2 linked regions of the Ovis aries genome follow. Each later gene encodes a partner of the first gene's protein in a complex. Links are inferred from orthologs where the notes say so. Each region holds a gene or a part of one and is shown in the gene's direction. Other genes may lie near its edges.

Region 1 (9,910 bases):
ATCTTCCTTAAGATTGACTGGTTTGATATCCTTGCCATCGAAAAGATTTTCAGGAGTCTTCTCCAAAACCACAGTTTAAAGGCATCAGGCATCAATTCTTTGGCATTTTGCCTTCTTTATGGTCTAGTTCTCACAACTGTACGTAACCACTAGGAAGACCATCAGTTCAGTTCAGTTGCTCAGTCGTGTCCAACTCTTTGCGATCCCATGGACTGCGGCACACCAGACGTCTCTGTCCATCACCAACTCCTGGAGTTCACTCAGACTCGCGCCCGTCGAGTCAGTGATGCCATCCAGCCATCTCATCCTTGGTTGTCCCCTTCTTCTCCTGCCCCCAGTCCCTCCCAGCATCAAAGTCTTTTCCAATGAGTTTACCCAGATTCATGTCCATTGAGTTGGTAATGCCATCTAACCGTCTCATCCTCTGTCATCCCCTTCTTCTGCCTTCAATCTTTCCCAGCATCAAGGTCTTCTCAAATAAGTCAGTTCTTCACATCAGGTAGCCAAAGTATTGGAGTTTCAACTTCAACATCAGTCCTTCCAAATGAATATTCAGGACTGATTTCCATAAGCATGGGCTGGTTGGATCTCCTTGCAGTCCCTTTGACTCTCAAGAGTCTTCTCCAACACTACAGTTGGCAAAAATATCAATTCTTTGGTGCTCAGCTTTCTTTATAGTCCAACTCTCATGTCCATACATGACTACTGGAAAAACCATAGCCTTGACTAGACAGACCTTTGTTGACAAAGTAATGTCTCTGCTTTTTAATATGCTGTCTAGGTTGGTCGTAACGTTCCTTACAAGGAGTAAGCGTCTTTTAATTTCATGGCTGCAGTCGATGAAAATCACATCTACAGTGATTTTGGAGCCCCCCAAAATAAAGTCTCTCACTGTTACTACTCTTTCCCTATCTATTTGCCATGAAGTGGTGGAATCGGATGCCATGATCTTCGTTTTCTGAATGTTGAGCTTAAAGCCAGCTTTTTCACTTTCCTCTTTCACTGTCATCAAGAGGCTTGTTAGTTCTTCTTCACTTTCTGCCATAAGGGTGATGTCATCTGCATATCTGAGGTTACTGATATTTCTCCCAGCAATTTTGATTCCAGCTTGTGCTTCTTCCAGTCCAGCATTTCTCATGCTGTACTCTGCATATAAGTTAAATAAGCAGGGTGACAGTATACAGCCTTGACATCCTCCTTTTCCTATTTGGAACCAGTCAGTTGTTCCATGTCCGGTTCTAACTGTTGCTTCCTGACCTGCATACAGATTTCTCAAGAGGCAGGTCAGGTGGTCTGGTATTCCCATCTTTTTCAGAATTTTCCACAGTTTATTGTGATCCACACAGTCAAAGGCTTTGGCATAGTCAATAAAGCAGAAATAGATGTTTTTCGGGAACTCTCTTGCTTTTTTCCATGATCCAGCGGATGTTGGCAATTTGATCTCTGGTTTCTCTGCCTTTTCTAAAACCAGCTTGAACATCTGGAAGGTCTCGGTTCACGTATTGCTGAAGCCTGGCTTGGAGAATTTTGAGCATTACTTTACTAGCATGTGAGATGAGTGCCATTGTGTGGTAGTTTGAGCATTCTTTTGCATTGCCTTTCTTTGGGATTGGAATGAAAACTGACCTTTTCCAGTCCTGTGGCCACTGCTGAGTTTTCCAAATGTGCTGGCATATTGAGTGTAGCACTTTCACAGCATCATCTTTCAGGATTTGAAATAGCTCAACTGGAATTCCATCACCTCTACTAGCTTTGTTCGTAGTGATGCTTTCTAAGGCCCACTTGACTTCACATTCCAGGATGTCTGGCTCTAGATGAGTGATCACACCATCGTGATTATCTGGGTTGTGAAGATCTTTTTGTACAGTTCTTCTGTGTATACTTGCCACCTCTCCTTAATATCTTCTGCTTCTGTTAGGTCCAGACCATTTCTGTCCTTTATCGAGCCCATCTTTGCACAAAATGTTCCCTTGGTATCTCTAATTTTCTTGAAGAGATCTCTAGTCTTTCCCATTCTGTTGTTTTCCTCTATTTCTTTGCAGTGATCACTGAAGAAGGCTTTCTTACCTCTTCTTGCTATTCTTTGGAACTCTGCATTCAGATGCTTATATCTTTCCTTTTCTCCTTTGCTTTTAGCTTCTCTTCTTTTCACAGCTAAAGGCCTCCCCAGACAGCCAGACTGCTAAAATAATTGCCAAAATGGCTAAAAGCATATTCCCTTCCTGTACTTTTCCCCCTAGTTTGCCTAGTTTCCCTCGTTTGCCCCAGTAATGTACATTACTGCAGTACATTGTCAAATCCTGGAACATGACCTTGGTATAATACTATTAACTCAGATACTGGCCTATTTCGTCAGATTTAGAACTTCTGCGAGTGCACAAACACACATGCAGAGTTCTGTGAAATTCTGTCTCTTGTAGACATGTGCTTTGTAATGTTTCTAAATCTAATTTTGAGGTTTTCAGCAGTGTTAAAAATGATCTCAGATACCATTCTCCAGATTTTTGGCCTCCCACATTTACATATGAATAAGATGAATGGCCTGCTTTGTTCCTTTATTATTCTTGTTGCCTTTGCTTTCCACACTAGAAATGCTTTTCAAATTTTGCCTCACTAGTATTATAAGTCATATTACTCACCAGGTCTTTTTTTTTAATGTAAATTTATTTATTTTAATTGGAGGTTAATTACTTTACAATATTGTATTGGTTTTGCCATACATCAACATGAATCCGCCACAGGTATACAGGTGTTCCCCATCCTGAACCCCCCTCCCTCCTCCCTCCCTGAATCATCCCTCTGGGTCGTAACTAGTACATTACCTTCTTATTTTCTTCTGTTGATCACTGACCTACTTAACAACCCTTCATATCTTTTCTGACAATAAAATCAGTGGTAGAAGAATCTGCCTGCCAGTGCAGGAGACACAAGTTCAATCCCTGTGTCAGGAAGATCCCCTGGAGAAGGAAATGACAACCTACTCCTCGGAAATCCCATGGACAGAGGAGCCTGGTGGGCTACAGTCCGTGGGGTTGCAAAAGAGTCTGACATGACTTAGCAACTCAACAACAACAACAAAATATTTCTACAGGAATGTTAACAGAGTTCTAAAGTTTTTTCTTTTGCCTACCCTGCCCTACTTGTGAGAAACACGCTCACCAGCTCAAACCCAAAGAATGGAAGTAAGGCTTTAATGATAGTCTTGCAAGATCTGGTGTCTGATGGGCAGGCACACCCAGAGTCATTACAGGGAGCATCTTATCCCTAGAATGCAAGTCCCTCTCCCTGTTCCTCTTTGGCTGAGTACCAAGGGGTAAACAGTCTTCCTGGATGTCACCTAGGTTTGTTCCCTCCCTCTTTATGATCTCCTCCCACCACCCCGCCACATCTTATTTCCTCCTTTTCTGTGTACCTATTCCAGTTCTTAGGTTTTGAATTCACCTGTAGGATGAACCTGCACGAAAATCTTAGGCATCTCACCCTCCCTTTGTTTGCCCAGACTTTGTAGTTTTGTATCCCTTATGGCTATCAGCTATTGGCTATTACATCAGCAAGCTCTCACTCAATGCTAGATGTTCTTGAAAACGGACCATTTTGGTTTTTTATTTCTTACACTACTAATTAGAAATATATTTCTGGTAAATAATTTACCAGTAATTTTAGAATCAGCAGGGGTAGTGGGTTGGAAGAAGATGAACTGAATTGTTAAAATCCTTTATTCATCCTTTAAAAATCACACTTCTGATGTTTTTAGATAATCTGCTAGGTGTATTATTTTACTAAAAGCCCACTCTATTAGTTTCTGTATATTGTAGGAAATATTTGTCTGTATGTTACTTACAGACTTTCTAAAACAAAATGCTTAAGTTAAAATTTTATAATTTAATTTCTGCAGCTGTGCTCAGTACGTGCTATATTTATTTATATATGGGCTTCCCAGGTAGCTCAGTGGTCAACAGTCCACCTGCCTATGCAGGAGACTCAGGAGACAGGAGATCCATCCCTAGGTCAAGGAAGATCCTCTGGAGAAAGAAATGGCAACCCATTCCAATACTCTTTGCCTGGGAAATCCCATGGACAGAGGAACCTGGCAGACTACAGTCAGACATGACAGCGCACGTGCACACACACACATTTATATATGTTCTATATGAGATATATGCATACCTGCTAATATGTTGCTGATATTTAAGGTGGTAATTGACTTTATTCAGTAGGATTCTAGATTAATATGCAGTGCTATGTGTGACAGCTGAAGAAAAACCACAGTCTATCTGAACATACTTGTTATATTTCTTACAGGTTCTGAGTTCTGTACGTACAGAATGGGATCCACTGGATGTTCGCTTTAACACCAAACATCCTAATCAAGTGTTGACAGTGGAGTGCTCCATCAGTGTAGACAAAGAGCCCATGGCTGACAGCTGCATCTATGAATGTGTTCGGAACAAAATCCAGTGTGTATCAGTCACCAGAATACCACTTAAGTCAAAGGCCATTAGTTGTTGCAGGAATGCTGCTGAAGACAAACTGATCCTGGGCTGTGAAGATTCTTCAATAATTCTTTATGAAACTCACCGTAGAGTGACTCTCTTAGCTCAGGCTGAACTTCTGCCTTCGTTAGTAAGCTGCCACCCAAGTGGGGCCATTCTGCTAGTTGGCAGTAACCAAGGGGAGCTGCAAATATTTGATATGGCTCTTTCTCCTATTAACATCCAGCTTTTGGCTGAAGACAATTCACCTAGGGAGACTCTACAATTCAAAAAATTCTTTGATGTTTCCAGCAGTCTTGTTCAAATGCAGTGGATAGCGCCTCAGGTTGTTTCTAAGAAGCTTGAAAGTGGGGACATCTATAATCTCCTCTTTCTCAGGTTTGACAGAGGACCTTTGGGTGTACTTCTGTTTAAACTTGGTAAGTCAAGGAAGTTGGTGAGTAAATAAATTTTTTTATGATGACAGTATAATTAAGACAGTAAAACTGTTCCTGGAATGTAGATTTTTTTGTTTCTCATCCCATCAATATGCTTACATTTCAAACATTTCATGTAGTTTTCTTAAGAAAGTTTTGTGGATGATTTTCTAAAATCTCAAGGTCCATTATATATTGAAAAATTTTGAAATTGCATTAATTTTCCATCACATGAGTAAAAAGCCTGAGCTGTCCATATATGATGCTTTCCAAACTAAACTGGCTACTAAAAAAATTCCTTAAGAAATAGTACATATGAGAATATTTTTAAGTACTTACTATGTCCATTGTAAAATTCTGTGTGTAGGGATATAATACTTTTCCTATTAAGTTATTTTAGATGAGTGTTCATTTCTTTCCAGATTGAAAATATGTAAAACAAGAGTTTTAAAAGAAGAGGAAGGAAAATGCTTGGTTAGAATTTGCTGAAGATATTTGTGTAACTTTATGTTTTTCTTTTAGATAAAAATATTCAAAAAATTATTTCAATATTAGGAAAATTATGTATTAATGTATACTATTTCAACATAATTTTTATTTGCCTTCTATAGGTTTGTATTACCAGCTATGTCCTTAAATATATGATATTTTTAAGGCAGTTTTGATAATTTAACATTCTTGAGAGGAACTTGCTTAGGTTTTAAAAATCATGTTTCAATTAGTGCACATTATTGTCCATCCTAAAGGAGATCAGTCCTGGGTGTTCATTGGAAGGACTGATGCTGAAGCTGAAACTCCCATACTTTGGCCACCTTATGCAAAGAGTTGACTCGCTGGAAAAGACCCTGATGCTGGGAGGGATTGAGGGCAGGAGGAGAAAGGGACCACAGAGGATGAGATGGCTGGATGGCATCACTGACTCGATGGACATGAGTTTGGGTAAACTCCGGGAGTTGGTGATGGACAGGGAGGCCTGGAGAGAGTCAGACATGACTGAGCGACTGAACTGAACTGAACTGATTGCAACCTGAAAACATAGAAAAGTAGATACATTTCAAAACCCCTTACACATTTGGCTCTGTGGCACAAAGTTAAGTTTTTAAAAAACATTGTTTTTTAAGTAACTGTCAGTTTACTTTTTGTTTTTAATGGATCTACTTGCCTCTGAAATAGAACGAATGAAATAAATCTAATGAAAATGACTTAACTTGAAAGCTATCAGGGATATAAGTGAGGCCTATGTTCTTTTCACATGAAAAAAAAAGAACCTAAATCCATTCATAACATTAGTATTATCCAATAAAAATATGTTTGGAATCTCATTTATTATGAGATAATCCAGTTCTACTTTGCCCAACTACATGTTTAATAGTGGTGTGTCTCCACACACAACACTTATTAAAGTGGATGTTAGATGTTTTGCATATTTGTTGAAACTCTCTCCCTCTCTCTGTATCCCAGTTACCTGTCAAACAAGAAGGCAATCTACTAACATATACCTAGCTTTTCTTCAGCCCTCCCTTGTGGGCCTACTCACAACAGCTTTGCAAAAAGCACAGCTTTCTCTTCCTATCTCTAGCACATTTGCCTTCTTACTAAAGTAAACAGGCTCTCAGTGTAGGGATTTAGAGGGCTTCCTGCTAATTGCCAGCTTGTAAACTTAATTGGACTATCTCCCTGGGCACTGTTCCTAAATCAATTAGGCAATGAGTTGGCTGTCACCTCTTTTTCCCAAGTAGGTCTCTTGGAAGAGAATTATCCAATAGAAGTCAAGCATTCAAATGAAAAGGTGATAACTTCTGCAACTGACATTTATCATTTAAATTTTATTTTCATTATGACTTATAAGATTTATAGAATAGGGAAATTTTACAGTCTTACACGGTCTTTAAAAGAACAAAACATGGAGTTTCCCAGGATTTTTGAGAATGAAGTGTTTTTGAGATTTTTGAGAAGATTATTGTTTATTATATATTATTTTTCCTAGGAAGAGTAGATTCCTTGAAACAGTATATTCCAGCTAACAGATCTTTTTCTTTCTTTCTTTTTTTTTTTTTTTAAAGAAAACCCTGTTTAAAGAACAGATTTTTCTTAGGATCTGCTACTAAATACATCCAGAAATTTTAATATACTTCTTGAATTAACACAGTGCTGATTCTGGGCATCCATGTGGAATTTTCATGTATAATTCAAGTTACTGCATATATAAACAGGTAGTTTCATGTGCAGTTTCCCCACTAGAGAGCATTTATGAGATGTTTTTCATATGCTTGTTATGCAAGCCTTTGGAAATTTTGACATGAAAGGTGTAGCGTACAATTTAAGAAGCTGAGATAGATCATAGTTTAAAATAGAATGCTGTCATATGTAAACGTGTCAGTGGCTGCTGCCAATATGCTAAGATTTTTGGAGTCTGACTCTTAGAATAGGTCAGTTAGTGTAATGTTGAAGGAAAACTCTGTTGAAGGCTAGAGCTTCCATTCTAAATCCTTATAATTATCACACAAATGCCACTGGAGGTTAAAAGGCCATCACCACTGTTACTATAAGAATGTGAAAAACTAACATGTCTTCCTCAGGAGGGAGCAAGAGGTGTCATCCTTCTAGGTAGAGGCAGTATGTAATCAGAATTTCTTTACCTAACAATCATTATTCATATTTCCATATATGTAAACTGGGATTAATTTTAAAAAGAGGAGTTCCTAGTTCTATTTCTTAGATAATAAAGCTTTTCCATTCTCTTCATCACCTTTTCCAACTTTCACTGCTCTCTTTAAACTCATGTGATCAGCTTCTTGCCCTTTCAACAGAGAATCTCCCCTTTTAATAGATACTTCATTGACTTTATCTGCTCCTCACCACCCACCCAACCACTTACCTCCATGTAATAAATCTTTTCAGTTTCAATTCAGTGGGATAGGAGCCTGCCTTTTACCTACGACTAGTTCCACGCTGGATCCCACAGCATTCCCCTTGACGCCTTTACTCTGTCACCTTCCCCACTCTCCCCATGAATCTTGCTACATCAGCAGGCTCAGGCCCAAGCCACACCATGAAACAAAGCAACATACATCTGTTCCTTAAAATTGTTTCCCCTCTGTTATTAATCAAATGTTCACCGTCGTTTCACAGTCAAGCTCTTAATAGAATAGTGAACACTGAATTTCTCTGCTTCTTCGCCCCCATTCCCCCTCACAGCACCACCTTCTGGCTCTTCTCTTCAATCTTCTCCTGGAGCTGCTCTTGGAAAGTTCACCAGTGACTTCCTACTTGATACACATATTTTTCTTCAGTTACTTGATGACTTTTCAGCATTTGATGGCTCCTGACCACATTACCATCAAATTCTCATTGTTCTTGCCTTCTGTGACTCTCAATGCAACTTTCTGGCACTTTTTTATGCTCTTCTTCTGCCTCCTCATGAAAATATTCAGGCTCTCCAAGGTTCCATCTTTAGCTCCCCTCCCATTTTATGCAAAATGAGAGTTTCTTTCTTTATTTTTTTAAATTATTTTTAATTTTTAAATTTTAATTGAAGGCTAATTACTTTACAATATTGTAGTGGTTTTTGCCATACATTGACATGAATCAGCCATGGGTGTACATGTATTCCCCATCCTGAACTCCCCTCCCACCTCCTTCCCCATCCCATCCCTCAGGGTCATCCCAGTGCACCAGCCCTGAGCACCCTGTCTCATGCATCAAACCAAGAGTTTACTTTTTATTTTGGTATCCTGTCTCTGACTTCAGCCTAGGCCACTGCTCTCCACACCCACATGTTAACCTAGCCTACAGGAAACCTACCCCTTGAGTCTGCACAACTGCCTCAGATTTATTATGTGCAAACTTGAAGTTGTCATCTTTCTCCCTGCTTTTCCTCCTGTGTATTTCAGTTTAAGGGATGTTATAGTTATTTAGATGGACAGAATTACAAGTTAGAAATCATCCTAGAATCCTCCCTCATTCCTAACGCCATATCCAGTCAGCAATGAAATGCCATCAGTTCTGAGGTTTTGTTCTGTCACTCAATCGTGTCTGACTCTTTTGACCCCAAGAACTGCAGCATGCCAGGCTTCCCTGTCCTTTACTATCTCCTGGAGTTTGCTCAAACTCATGTCCATTGAGTCGATGATGTCATCTAACCATCTCATCCTCTGTTGCCCCCTTATCTTCAATCTTTCCCAGAATCAGGGTCTTTTCCAATGAGTTGGATCTTCACATCAGGTGGCCAAAGTATTGGAGCTTCAGCATCAGTCCCTCTAGTGAATATTCTTGGTTGATTTCATTTAGGATTGACTTATTTGATCTCCTGGTTGTCCAAGGGACTCTCAAGAGTCTTTTCCAGCACCACAGTTCAAAAGCATCAATTCTTTGGTGCTCAACCTTCTTTATGGTCCAGCTCTCACATCCATACATGACTACTGGAAAAACCATAGCTTTGACTAGATGGACCTTTGACCACAAAGTGATATCTCTGCTTTTTAATACAACGTCTAGCTTTGTCATAGATTTTCTTCCAAAGAGCAGGTGTCTTTTAATTTCATAGCTGTAGTCACTGTCCACATGATTTTGGAGCCCAAAATGGAGTCACTCTTTCAATGGTTTCCCCATCTATTTGCCATGAAGTGATGGAATTGGACGCCATGATCTTAATTTTTTGAATGTTGAGTTTTAAGCCAGCTTTTTCACTCTCCTCTTTCACTTTCATCAAGAGGCTCCTTAGTTCATCTTAGCTTTCTACCATAAGGGTGGTATCATCTGATTGTCTGAGGTTATTGATATTTCTCCTGGAAATCTTGATTCCCACTTGAGCTTAATCCATCCTGGCATTTCTCATGATGTACTCTGCATATAATTTAAATAAGCAGGGTGACAGTATACAACCTTGACGTACTCCTTTCCCAATTTTGAACCAGTTTGTTGTTCCATGTCTGGTTCTAAGTGTTGCTTCTTGACCTGCATACAGATTTCTCAGGAGGCAGGTAAGGTGGCCTGGTATTC
Region 2 (10,385 bases), on another chromosome or scaffold:
TGGAGAAATATACCATGTTCATGGATTGGAAGAATCAATATAGTGAAAATGAGTATACTACCCAAAGCAATTTACAAATTCAATGCAATCCCTATTAAGCTACCAGGCACATTTTTCACAGAACTAGAACAAATAATTTCAAGATTTGTATGGAAATACAAAAAACCTCGAATAGCCAAAGCAATCTTGAGAAAGAAGAATGGAACTGGAGGAATCAACTTACCTGACTTCAGGCTCTACTACAAAGCCACAGTCATCAAGACAGTATGGTACTGGCACAAAGACAGACATATAGATCAATGGAACAAAATAGAAAGCCCAGAGATAAATCCACACACATATGGACACCTTATCTTTGACAAAGGAGGCAAGAATATACAATGGAGTAAAGACAATCTCTTTAACAAGTGGTGCTGGGAAAACTGGTCAACCACTTGTAAAAGAATGAAACTAGATCACTTTCTAACACCGCACACAAAAATAAACTCAAAATGGATTAAAGATCTAAATGTAAGATCAGAAACTATAAAACTCCTAGAGGAGAACATAGGCAAAACACTCTCAGACATAAATCACAGCAGGATCCTCTATGATCCACCTCCCAGAATGCTGGAAATAAAAGCAAAAATAAACAAATGGGATCTAATTAAAATTAAAAGCTTCTGCACAACAAAGGAAAATATAAGCAAGGTGAAAAGACAGCCTTCTGAATGGGAGAAAATAATAGCAAATGAAGCAACTGACAAACAACTAATCTCAAAAATATACAAGCAACTTCTGCAGCTCAACTCCAGAAAAATAAACGACCCAATCAAAAAATGGGCCAAAGAACTAAATAGACATTTCTCCAAAGAAGACATACGGATGGCTAACAAACACATGAAAAGATGCTCAACATCACTCATTATTAGAGAAATGCAAATCAAAACCACAATGAGGTACCACTTCACACCAGTCAGAATGGCTGCGATCCAAAAATCTGCAAACAATAAATGCTGGAGAGGGTGTGGAGAAAGGGAACCCTCCTACACTGTTGGTGGGAATGCAAACTAGTACAGCCACTATGGAGAACAGTGTGGAGATTCCTTAAAAAATTGCAAATAGAACTACCTTATGACCCAGCAATCCCACTTCTGGGCATACACACCGAGGAAACCAGAATTGAAAGAGACACATGTACCCCAATGTTCATCGCAGCACTGTTTATAATAGCCAGGACATGGAAACAACCTAGATGTCCATCAGCAGATGAATGGATAAGAAAGCTGTGGTACATATACACAATGGAGTATTACTCAGCCGTTAAAAAGAATTCATTTGAATCAGTTCTGATGAGATGGATGAAACTGGAGCCGATTATACAGAGTGAAGTAAGCCAGAAAGAAAAACACCAATACAGTATACTAACACATATATATGGAATTTAGGAAGATGGCAATGACGACCCTGTATGCAAGACAGGGAAAGAGACAGATGTGTATAACGGACTTTTGGACTCAGAGGGAGAGGGAGAGGGTGGGATGATTTGGGAGAATGACATTCTAACATGTATACTATCATGTGAATTGAATCGCCAGTCTATGTCTGACGCAGGATGCAGCATGCTTGGGGCTGGTGCATGGGGATGACCCAGAAAGATGTTATGGGGAGGGAGGTGGGAGGGGGGTTCATGTTTGGGAATGCATGTAAGAATTAAAGATTTTAAAATTTAAAAAATAAAAAACTAAAAAATTTAAAAAAAAAAAATGTCTTTTTTTTTTTTAACTTCCAATAAGGTGCTTTTAAAATGAGGAAAGTCTAACTTTATTAAAGAGGCACTGAAAGCATTTTAATTTTAGAATGGAATCTTAGGGATTGTGGTGAGAATATGTATGTTTTAAGATGAAATATAATATAACTATTATAGCAGTTCCACCTTTTAATAGTATCTCTAATTTTAAAAGTAATACACCTTTATTTTGGGGGGTGGGTACTCAATATTGATGGAAATATGTTTCTTTTCTTTCCTGACTCCACTCTCTTGAGGCTTCTGACCCCATTACTTTCCCCATCACTTTTACCTGACAAGACTGTCTTCTAACTACTAGAGAAAATAAACACCATCACATGGAGACTGCCTTAGCCTCCTGAGTGACACTGGCAAGTCAGCATCCACACCTGCATCCTCCTCTGGGTACCAGCAGCAGAGAAGAGGTGTTGAGCAAGGTCATATCTCTCCATCTGTTCCTTAGGTGCCATCTCTTTCTGTCATCATCCCTTTACCCATTTATCCCTTTATGAACTAGTCCCCTGTTTTCTAATATTTGTGGTATGTGGACTTCTCTTTTCAGGAAAGACTTACAGATTTCCAGGGATGACAAACTTTACTATAATTTAAAATAAGCAGGTGTAAGCTCTGTGCTTTACAGCTCTTTCATAAGATAAAAACAATTTTATAAATTAATACAAATAAACTGCAAAACAAAATTAAATAGCTAGTTAAAAATTATTAAAAAGCAAATTTAGAAATCAATAAAATAAAACCATTAAACTTAGGATATTCAAATATACATAATTTAATGTGACAAATGAAACTAAATTGCAGCTTGAAAGTTTAAATATGTAATGGCTACTGCCCAGGTTCTTTTGGGCAATATATATGCCTATATCTCTCTGGGCTATGGGATGACTCATCTTTCACTACTCTTCACTGTTTAGAACATAATATTCTGTAATGACAAGATAAGTTAAGCCTTCCTCTAAGAAATCTGCTGTGGCCCTACATGTCCCAAGTTTGTTTTCCTTTGGGTATTCCATTAGAACTCTGTATTTATCATAGTACATTATACGTTATAAATTTCACATTCATCTTTCAGTCTCTACCATCTACCCATATAGTTTAAGTTGAATCCCCAGCCCTCATCCATTGAGATCATAAAATAACATTAAGATCTTTTTAAAAAAATTAACGGCTATAATAGGAACATTTTCCCATGCATTGCTTTTGAAAACATTTCTATTAAGATCATAATATTCATCATACTTTATATTTAAAGACATTTAAATTTTACCCTTTTGCTGAACATTAAGCTTGCTTTCAGCTTTTTATAAGTTTTATAAATTTTATTTGCAGCTCTTATTTTCTTAGAATAGATCTCTAATACTGAATTACTGATCTCTAATGGAAAAGACCCTGATGGTGGGAGGGATTGGGGGCAGGAGGAGAAGGGGACGACAGAGGATGAGGTGGTTGGATGGCATCACCAACTCAATGGACATGAGTTTGGGTAAACTCTGGGAGTTGGTGATGGACAGGGAGGCCTGGCTTGCAGCCATTCATGGGGTCACAAAGAGTTGGACACGACTGAGGGACTGAACTGAGCTGAATAGTTGAATTACTGGGTGCTGAGGAGTAAGGATAATCTAATGGTTAATGACTTCGGCTCTTGTTGGCTTTGTCTCCTGCTACCCGTGTGACCATAACCCAGATGAATAACACCTCTCTAAGCTTCAGTTTCCTTATTTTAATATAGAGAAATTTAGTTCATGTATATTCGTATACCTATGAACAAGTAATTAGAGCAATGGCCGAATCTAAATAAATGCTATTATTTTGTACATTCCAAAAATAGTTGATGCAAGTATTCGCAAAAGACAGGTAAATTTTACCTGTGTACCCTTCCAACTTCAGTGACTAGAACACTTCATCAAATTATAAAATTTTCAGTTAGAAAATGAACACGCAGTTGATTTCACAATATTGGCACCAATTTGAAGCACCTCAACAACATCTGCTTGGGAGAACTATGAAAATATTTACTTCTGTGAAACAGTAAGAAAACCAAAGAAATAATGGCGCATGTTTACATTAACACCTACATGGTATTGCTTAAAAGCGTCTATTCCAAGCACGTACAGAGACGTAGAGGGTAGTTTCCTTTACTCTAGGGAAACCCAAACGGAGCCCATCTAAGGTTTTGGACAGACGTTCGGCGTAGCAACAAAGTGCAAACTGCAAGAAAAAGAAAAAATCCAGTGGGCCTCCACTAGATTTAACAGGTTAAGCTGTTCCAAATGAGAGTCTTTCGGGGAGCGTAAGTGGTTAAATTTTAGCTTCTTCCATTCTTCCCGGATGTCCTAGAAATTTTAGTTCATTGGCTCCTTTCTGGGGGGGTCTCAGTTCTCGCCAAGAAGCTTCCCCGTCTCCCTGGCAACCTGAGCTGCCACCAATTGCAGCTGAGGATTGGTGGTCACGTGGCCCCGGTCGTTGCACTAGAGGAGGCAACATGGCGGCGCCGGCAAGCAGTAGATGCGGGGTTTGAATTACTCTACTTGTAGCGGCGGCATCCCTGCTGATGGCGTCTCTGCCGTTGTGCGGTTCGGTTCGGAGCCCAGAGGGACTTCCTGGAGACTCTTCTTCACAAGAAGAAGATCAGGATTATGATCCTGAAGATCCGGTCAGCGACTCGGGTTCATACTCCCCGACGAGTACAGACTCTAAGTAAGGTTCTCGAAGAGGGACAATTAAATCCATCCTTTCTGTCCCGAAAGTGTACACGTGGGTTGGGGAGACTTCGAGAGTGTTGGCGTGGTAGAGAATAATTGTTTGAGGTTCTATAATAAGTGGGGGTTATTTGCACCAGGTTTCAGCTGTGCGATAATGTGAGCCGAAATGACTGTTACTGTACATTCTTTGTTATTGTAGGTTTTAAGGAGGAGGGTCTCTTTGGTGAGTTTTGTAATATATCAGAGTATAATCTGCTAGAGTGTTCACAAAATTCTGTTCTGTCGCAGTGTCTTCTTTGGTGTCATGATCTTTGTGACTTTAATCTCATTAGTATTTAGAGTGAAGGGACACCTTCTGCGTTTGGTCAACTATTTAAATTACGTAGGTTTTTCTGCCGTTATAAAACTGAATAGATATATAAAAGAAAGTAGATCAACCCTAGCCTCACCATTGAGAACAACCTCTCAACTTTGGGGGGGTATTTCTGCTGTATTTTAGCTTTGGGGGGGTATTTCTGCTGTATTTTCCTATGAACTTACATGGTTTTCTTGTTTTCTGTTTTGTGTCATAATGTAATTTTTAAATGCAGAGTATCTTAAGTATTATTTTCTACTTTTTTAATCCCTAAAAATGATGCAAAGTTATTTTTGTTCCCAGTACCCAATGCTGCTTCAGTTTTGAAGGCATTTATTCCTTACTGCTATGGATTGAGAACTTTTTGAAAAGGTCAATTAAAGTAATTAGTGTTTGCTTGAAACAACTAGCTATGAAACTGTTCTGGTGCCAAAGCATCAATCAGTGACTGCCATATATAGTCATTCTTAGAATGACATTTTTATGTATTTAAACATAACAGGAGTATATAATGTGTATTTTAGGAGTATCAGTTACTTGGCAGTTATTTTCACCCATAGATATATAAAACATTTTTATCATTATCTTTAAAAAGCAGTAGGAGAAAACCATCACTACTGGCTGCTTAAATGTGTTCTAAAGGCTTAGTGGGGACAGATTATATTCTGGAAGACTTAAGCAAATTAAAGGATATCAAACACTTTGTGTAATCTTCTACTGTGGTCATTTAAAAAATAATTTAAAAATTCATGGCTGTCAAGCCAGGCTGCTTGAAGGAAGTATGGATTATGTGGAACCTTCTTTGGTCTTGCTATTGGAGCCATAGACAATGTGAGATTCAAACTCTTGGTTTCTCTACATCGTAGAATCGCACACTTTTAGTTCAGAGAGCATCTATAATTTTCTTAAGGTCACACAGTTGAGTGTTGTCAGTGGAGAAATTTAGAACTGTTTTCAAAGGGGGTGTGTTGATTTTGATGAATCAATAAATGAGCTAGCCCTGTTACCTGGGAAGTGAGCAAGCTAAGTACCTTGTGTTAGAAAATGTGTTATTTCAAAGCATTTTCTGATTCAGAGAGTTGGACAGGACTGGAGCAACTTAACATGCATGCTTGCATTAGAGAAGGAAATGGCAACCCACTCCAGTATTCTTGCCTGGAGAATCCCAGGGACAGAGGAGCCTGGTGGGCTGCCATCTATGGAGTCTCACAGAGTCGGACACGACTGAAGCGACTTAGCAGCAGCAGTGTGATTCCGAATACATGTATATATGTATTATATTTTAGTTTTTTCTTTAATGGCCTTTAAATTTTCTGTATCAGTCATTTCCTGATCACTCCATATGTCCCAGTATCTTTAACATCCTAATAATAAGACTACAGGAAATCTCGACGGTAAACTGTTTAGCTGGTCTGTATTTGAAGTCCTACCAAGATACAGTTTTTATGGCTGGCATTTCTTGGTGTTTAGAACATACGAGTTGATATACTGACCTGACCAGGTAGGCTTCTGTCTGTTTTTTCCTTATGATATTTACCTCCCTAAGGTGCAGAGTGACCAGTGCAAGCGATGGCCTTCCCCGCTTGGACAGTACACTGGAACATGTGGATCAAAGATGTAGGGATGTGAACCTAAGCTTTCTCATCAAAGCTAAGAGATGAATTGCTTGTTGTCTTTCATTGCCTACATGGAGGTTATTAAGGAAGTTACGCCACTTACTGATTCACATAAAGTGTTCTGAACTTTCAAGGTTCCAGTTAATTTCTGCATATTCTTTCTGGAAATTGTCATTGTTTCTGACATGCTTTCAAACTGAAAACCAATTTGAGCTGCAAGTTATTGTCAATACAGAATAAGTTTATCATTTTTTAGAGATGTCTTTAAGGTACATTCTGGTTATAGTACTTTTAATAGGTACTTACAAGAGGAAATTTTTAAATTAGTGCAGTACCTCCTAACCTGGCATTATTGGCTAGTCCCTGAGGAAGCTTCAGAGGTAATACTGGAGGGTGGGTTGGGTTGAGGGAAAAATGACAGAAATACATTTACTTGCAATAACTCCATGTTTCTTTGCTTTGGTTTACAGTTATCCAGCTCATTGAAGCCACATTGGTTTGTGTTGGCCAAAGTTACCAGTTCTCATAAAATTGACCTAGAGTTTTGATTTTTTCAAAGTGAATTGTTTATTGTTGTGAGTTTTAAAACTTTGACTGATGGGGAGAAAAAGGGATACTTTAGAAAGAGAGTTAAGCTATAAAAAGCTGAGGAATGTCCACTGAAAATAAGAAGAATGACTGGAGACGAGAAATATGTCCTTTACGTTTTTTTCTGGGATATTTTAACATCTTTATTGAAGTGTAACTGACATATAATAAATCTTACATATTTAAAGTGTACGATTTGATAAGTTTTGACACGTATACATCTGCCAAGGTAATAAACATATCCTTGTCTTCCAGAAGTTTCCCTGTGTGCCTCCCCAATACTACTCATGCCTGCCTCACTCCTTACAACCACTTACCTGCTTTCTGTAGTGATAGATGAGTTTGTATTTCCAGAGTTTTATAAAAATGAAATCATACAGTATGGACTCTCTTTTTTGTCTAGCTTCTTCTACTCTGCATACTTATTTTGAGGCTCATTCATATTGTTGCCTAAATGTAGTTTTCTCCTTTTTATTTCAGAATAGGCCTCCATTTATTTCTGAATAGGATTGAGCATAGTTATTTTGAGATTCATTGTGTTACTTATATGTAGTTCTTTCCTTTTTATTTCTGAATAGGATTCCTTGGATATATCAAAATTTGTCTTTTTCTTGGGTTTTAATGTGGGAAGGTGCTAATTGAAGAATAAAAATGTTTCATTCAGAGTTATGGTGCAATATATTATTAATAATATCCAGTCTAGTGCAACATTTTCCTTTTTCTCTCCTACTCGGAACCTTGACTTCTCTTTTCTTTTTTCTTTTATCAAATTACGTCAATTAAAAAGTCAAACAGTATGTAGCTAGGCTTATGATGAGATATGGTAATTCTCTGCCACCATCTCCATCTCAGCATATTGAAGAGAATTCACTGTCTGCCTTGTTTCTCCACTAGTGTTGCCCATCTCATTTGCTGACCTCACTCTCTTTTCACTCAGGTCTTCAGATCTGATAAGTCTCCAATCCTGTTGACTTGCTTTTCTAATATCCACCTACCACCTCCTTCCCCTTCTCACAGGCACCGCCTTACTTAAATGGCTCGCCTGTCACTTATACCAGTGGAGTAGCCTTATAACTGGTCCGGGTGCTTCTAATTTCTCCTGTTTTCTGTCTTTCTTCCATACAGCTGCCTCTGTTTACTTTCTAAACTATAGTTCTAAATTATTTTTCTTGTAGAGAACCTATTACAAAAAGATACAGTGTAGCAGTTTGGATCAAAAGTATAATTGAACACAAGCATGAATATTACCAACAAAGCCAGCTAAAATGAAGTAGCTATCCATGTGCTTAACCAGATCATCCTTATGATCAGGAAAAGAAGGCTGAGATTAAAAAACTTATCTAATATTTCAGGTTTGATCACTGCAGACTGTATTGTTCAGAGAATTCAACCACTTCGATTACAATGAAATTTCTTATAATGTAGCCTGAAATAACTGAAACTTTGACTAATTTTGTTAGTATCCATAGCATATTTGCAATGTCAAAATACTTTTTTCAGCAGATTATTACGAGAGGCATTTTGGTTCAGTGTAATAAGTACTGGATTAAGAGTAGGGTTCCGAAAACCCGAAAGTGTTGACATTTTAATTTCATCAAGTTTTCTCTGGTTTTTAGGAATTCAGAATTAATTCTTGGTTGTAACTTATTACTTTACAAGATGTCTCAAGAGCGCTATATTCTAAGGGGCAAACACTTTAAGGGAAAATAAAGGCTGAATGTATAAGCATTTCTGTCTCTTTGGAAATGAAATCTTTGTGTGGCTGCCTTAGAAAAGACATGCTTTTCTTCAACATAAAACTATCTTCCTGGTAACTGGGAAACTTTATGGGCCTTCATCTTTTTTAACTTTTATTTTAAACTTGGAAATATTAGAATAATTGTGTTAGGGCAGTGTAACTACTATGTGTGATGCTATATAGTGGTTGGATGATACATGGCATCATACATTTGTCTAAAGCTGTAGATTGTACAACACCAAGAATAAACAGTAACGTAAATTATGGCTTTTGGGTGATTATGATTATGAGTTTATCAATTGTAATAAATGAACCACGCTGGTGAAGGATGTTGATAGTGGAGGAGGTCATGCATGTCATGGGGAGGGAGTATATGAAAAGTCGCTGTACCTTCAGCTTAGTTTTGCTGTGAACGTGAAACTGCTCTAAAAAAGAAAAATCTATTAAGTCATTTTTCTACTGAAAAGCTTGATGTCCTCCCAAATAAATTCCAGATTCCTTAGGATGCTTTTTAAAGCTATTTTAGATCTGTTCTTTAGCCTCTCAGACCCATCTTTGATGATCTTCCTTTAAGTCACCTTTATTCCTACTTGCCTTAGCTCTGGCCACTAATTAAAAAACCTCCTAGGGAATTCCCTGGTGGTCCAGTGGTTAGGACTCCATGCTTCCACTGCAGGGGCACAGGTTCTCCCTAGTTAGAGAACCAAGATCCCACAAGCCATGTAACAGAGCAAAAAAGAAAAAAAAAAAAACCTAAACTGAGTGGTATATAAACAGTAGAAATTTATTTCTCACAGCTCTGGAGACTGGAAGTCCAAGGTCAAGATATCAACATGGCCAAGTTCTGGTGAGGGCCCTCTTCCAAGTTACAGACTGCACATTCTCATTGTATTCTCACATAGTAGAGAGGAGAAACGAGTTCCCTGTGGCTCTTCTAAGGGCGTTAATTCCATTCATGAGGGCTCCACCCTGTGACCTCATCTAATTCTAATTACATCCCAAGGGCCCCACCTCCTGATACCATTGCATTGGGGGGTAGTGTTCAAAATATGAATTCTGGGGGAACATAAGAATTCAGTGCATAATATTACTACACTGAAATGGTTACCCATTCTCAGTCCTACAGTGTTCTTTCACTCCTCCTACACTTTGTACGTACTTTGTTCTCTCTGTTTGAAATACCTTTTCTTTCTGTCTCTACTTGTCATCGTCATTCAAGGTCCCATTTAAGTGCTGCTTTCTCCTGGAACCTTAATTGATCCTTTATTTTGGGCGGCTCCAAAATTACTGCAGATGGTGATTGCAGCCATGAAATTAAAAGACACTTACTCCTTGGAAGAAAAGTTATGACCAACCTAGATAGTATATTCAAAAGCAGAGTCATTACTTTGCCAACTAAGGTCCGTCTAGTCAAGGCTATGGTTTTTCCTGTGGTCATGTATGCCTGTGAGAGTTGGACTGTGAAGAAGAGAGAGCGCCGAAGAATTGATGCTTTTGAACTGTGGTGTTGGAGAAGACTCTTGAGAGGTCCTTGGACTGCAAGGAGATCCAACCACTCCATTCTGAAGGAGATCAGCCCAGGGATTTCTTGGGAAGGAATGAT

Evidence for each region.
Region 2: the proteins of WDPCP (region 1) and INTU are in contact, whole or in part, in a cryo-EM structure (PDB 7Q3E), measured with the Mus musculus proteins. The link is inferred for Ovis aries from reciprocal best matches to the Homo sapiens genes WDPCP and INTU. Residues at the interface, in NP_663400.2 of Mus musculus: Phe3, Cys4, Leu5, Ile24, Leu51, Ser54, Arg55, Asp56, Lys93, Leu385, Ala386, Glu387, Asp388, Tyr389, Ile427, Lys446, Leu447, Gly448, Ile449, Leu450, Thr451, Arg452, Gly453, Leu455, Leu462, Gln463, Ile465, His466, Tyr467, Gln487; in NP_780724.3 of Mus musculus: Val481, Gln484, Val488, Asp491, Ser495, Asp496, Glu498, Ala499, Ala500, Asp501, Ser506, Glu507, Asp508, Arg513, Arg514, Thr517, Ser532, His533, Leu534, Pro535, His574, Tyr593, Glu610, Gly613, Cys614, Ala615, Ser616, Lys617, Ser653, Pro654.

The regions. Positions count from the first base shown.
Region 1 is NC_056056.1:44,884,648-44,894,557, forward strand, and holds part of WDPCP (WD repeat-containing and planar cell polarity effector protein fritz homolog), read left to right. Parts: intron 1-4,302; coding exon 4,303-4,912; intron 4,913-9,910. UniProt on the Homo sapiens protein: Probable effector of the planar cell polarity signaling pathway which regulates the septin cytoskeleton in both ciliogenesis and collective cell movements.
Region 2 is NC_056070.1:30,205,994-30,216,378, reverse strand, and holds the start of INTU (protein inturned), read left to right. Parts: upstream 1-4,248; 5' UTR 4,249-4,334; coding exon 4,335-4,480; intron 4,481-10,385. UniProt on the Homo sapiens protein: Plays a key role in ciliogenesis and embryonic development.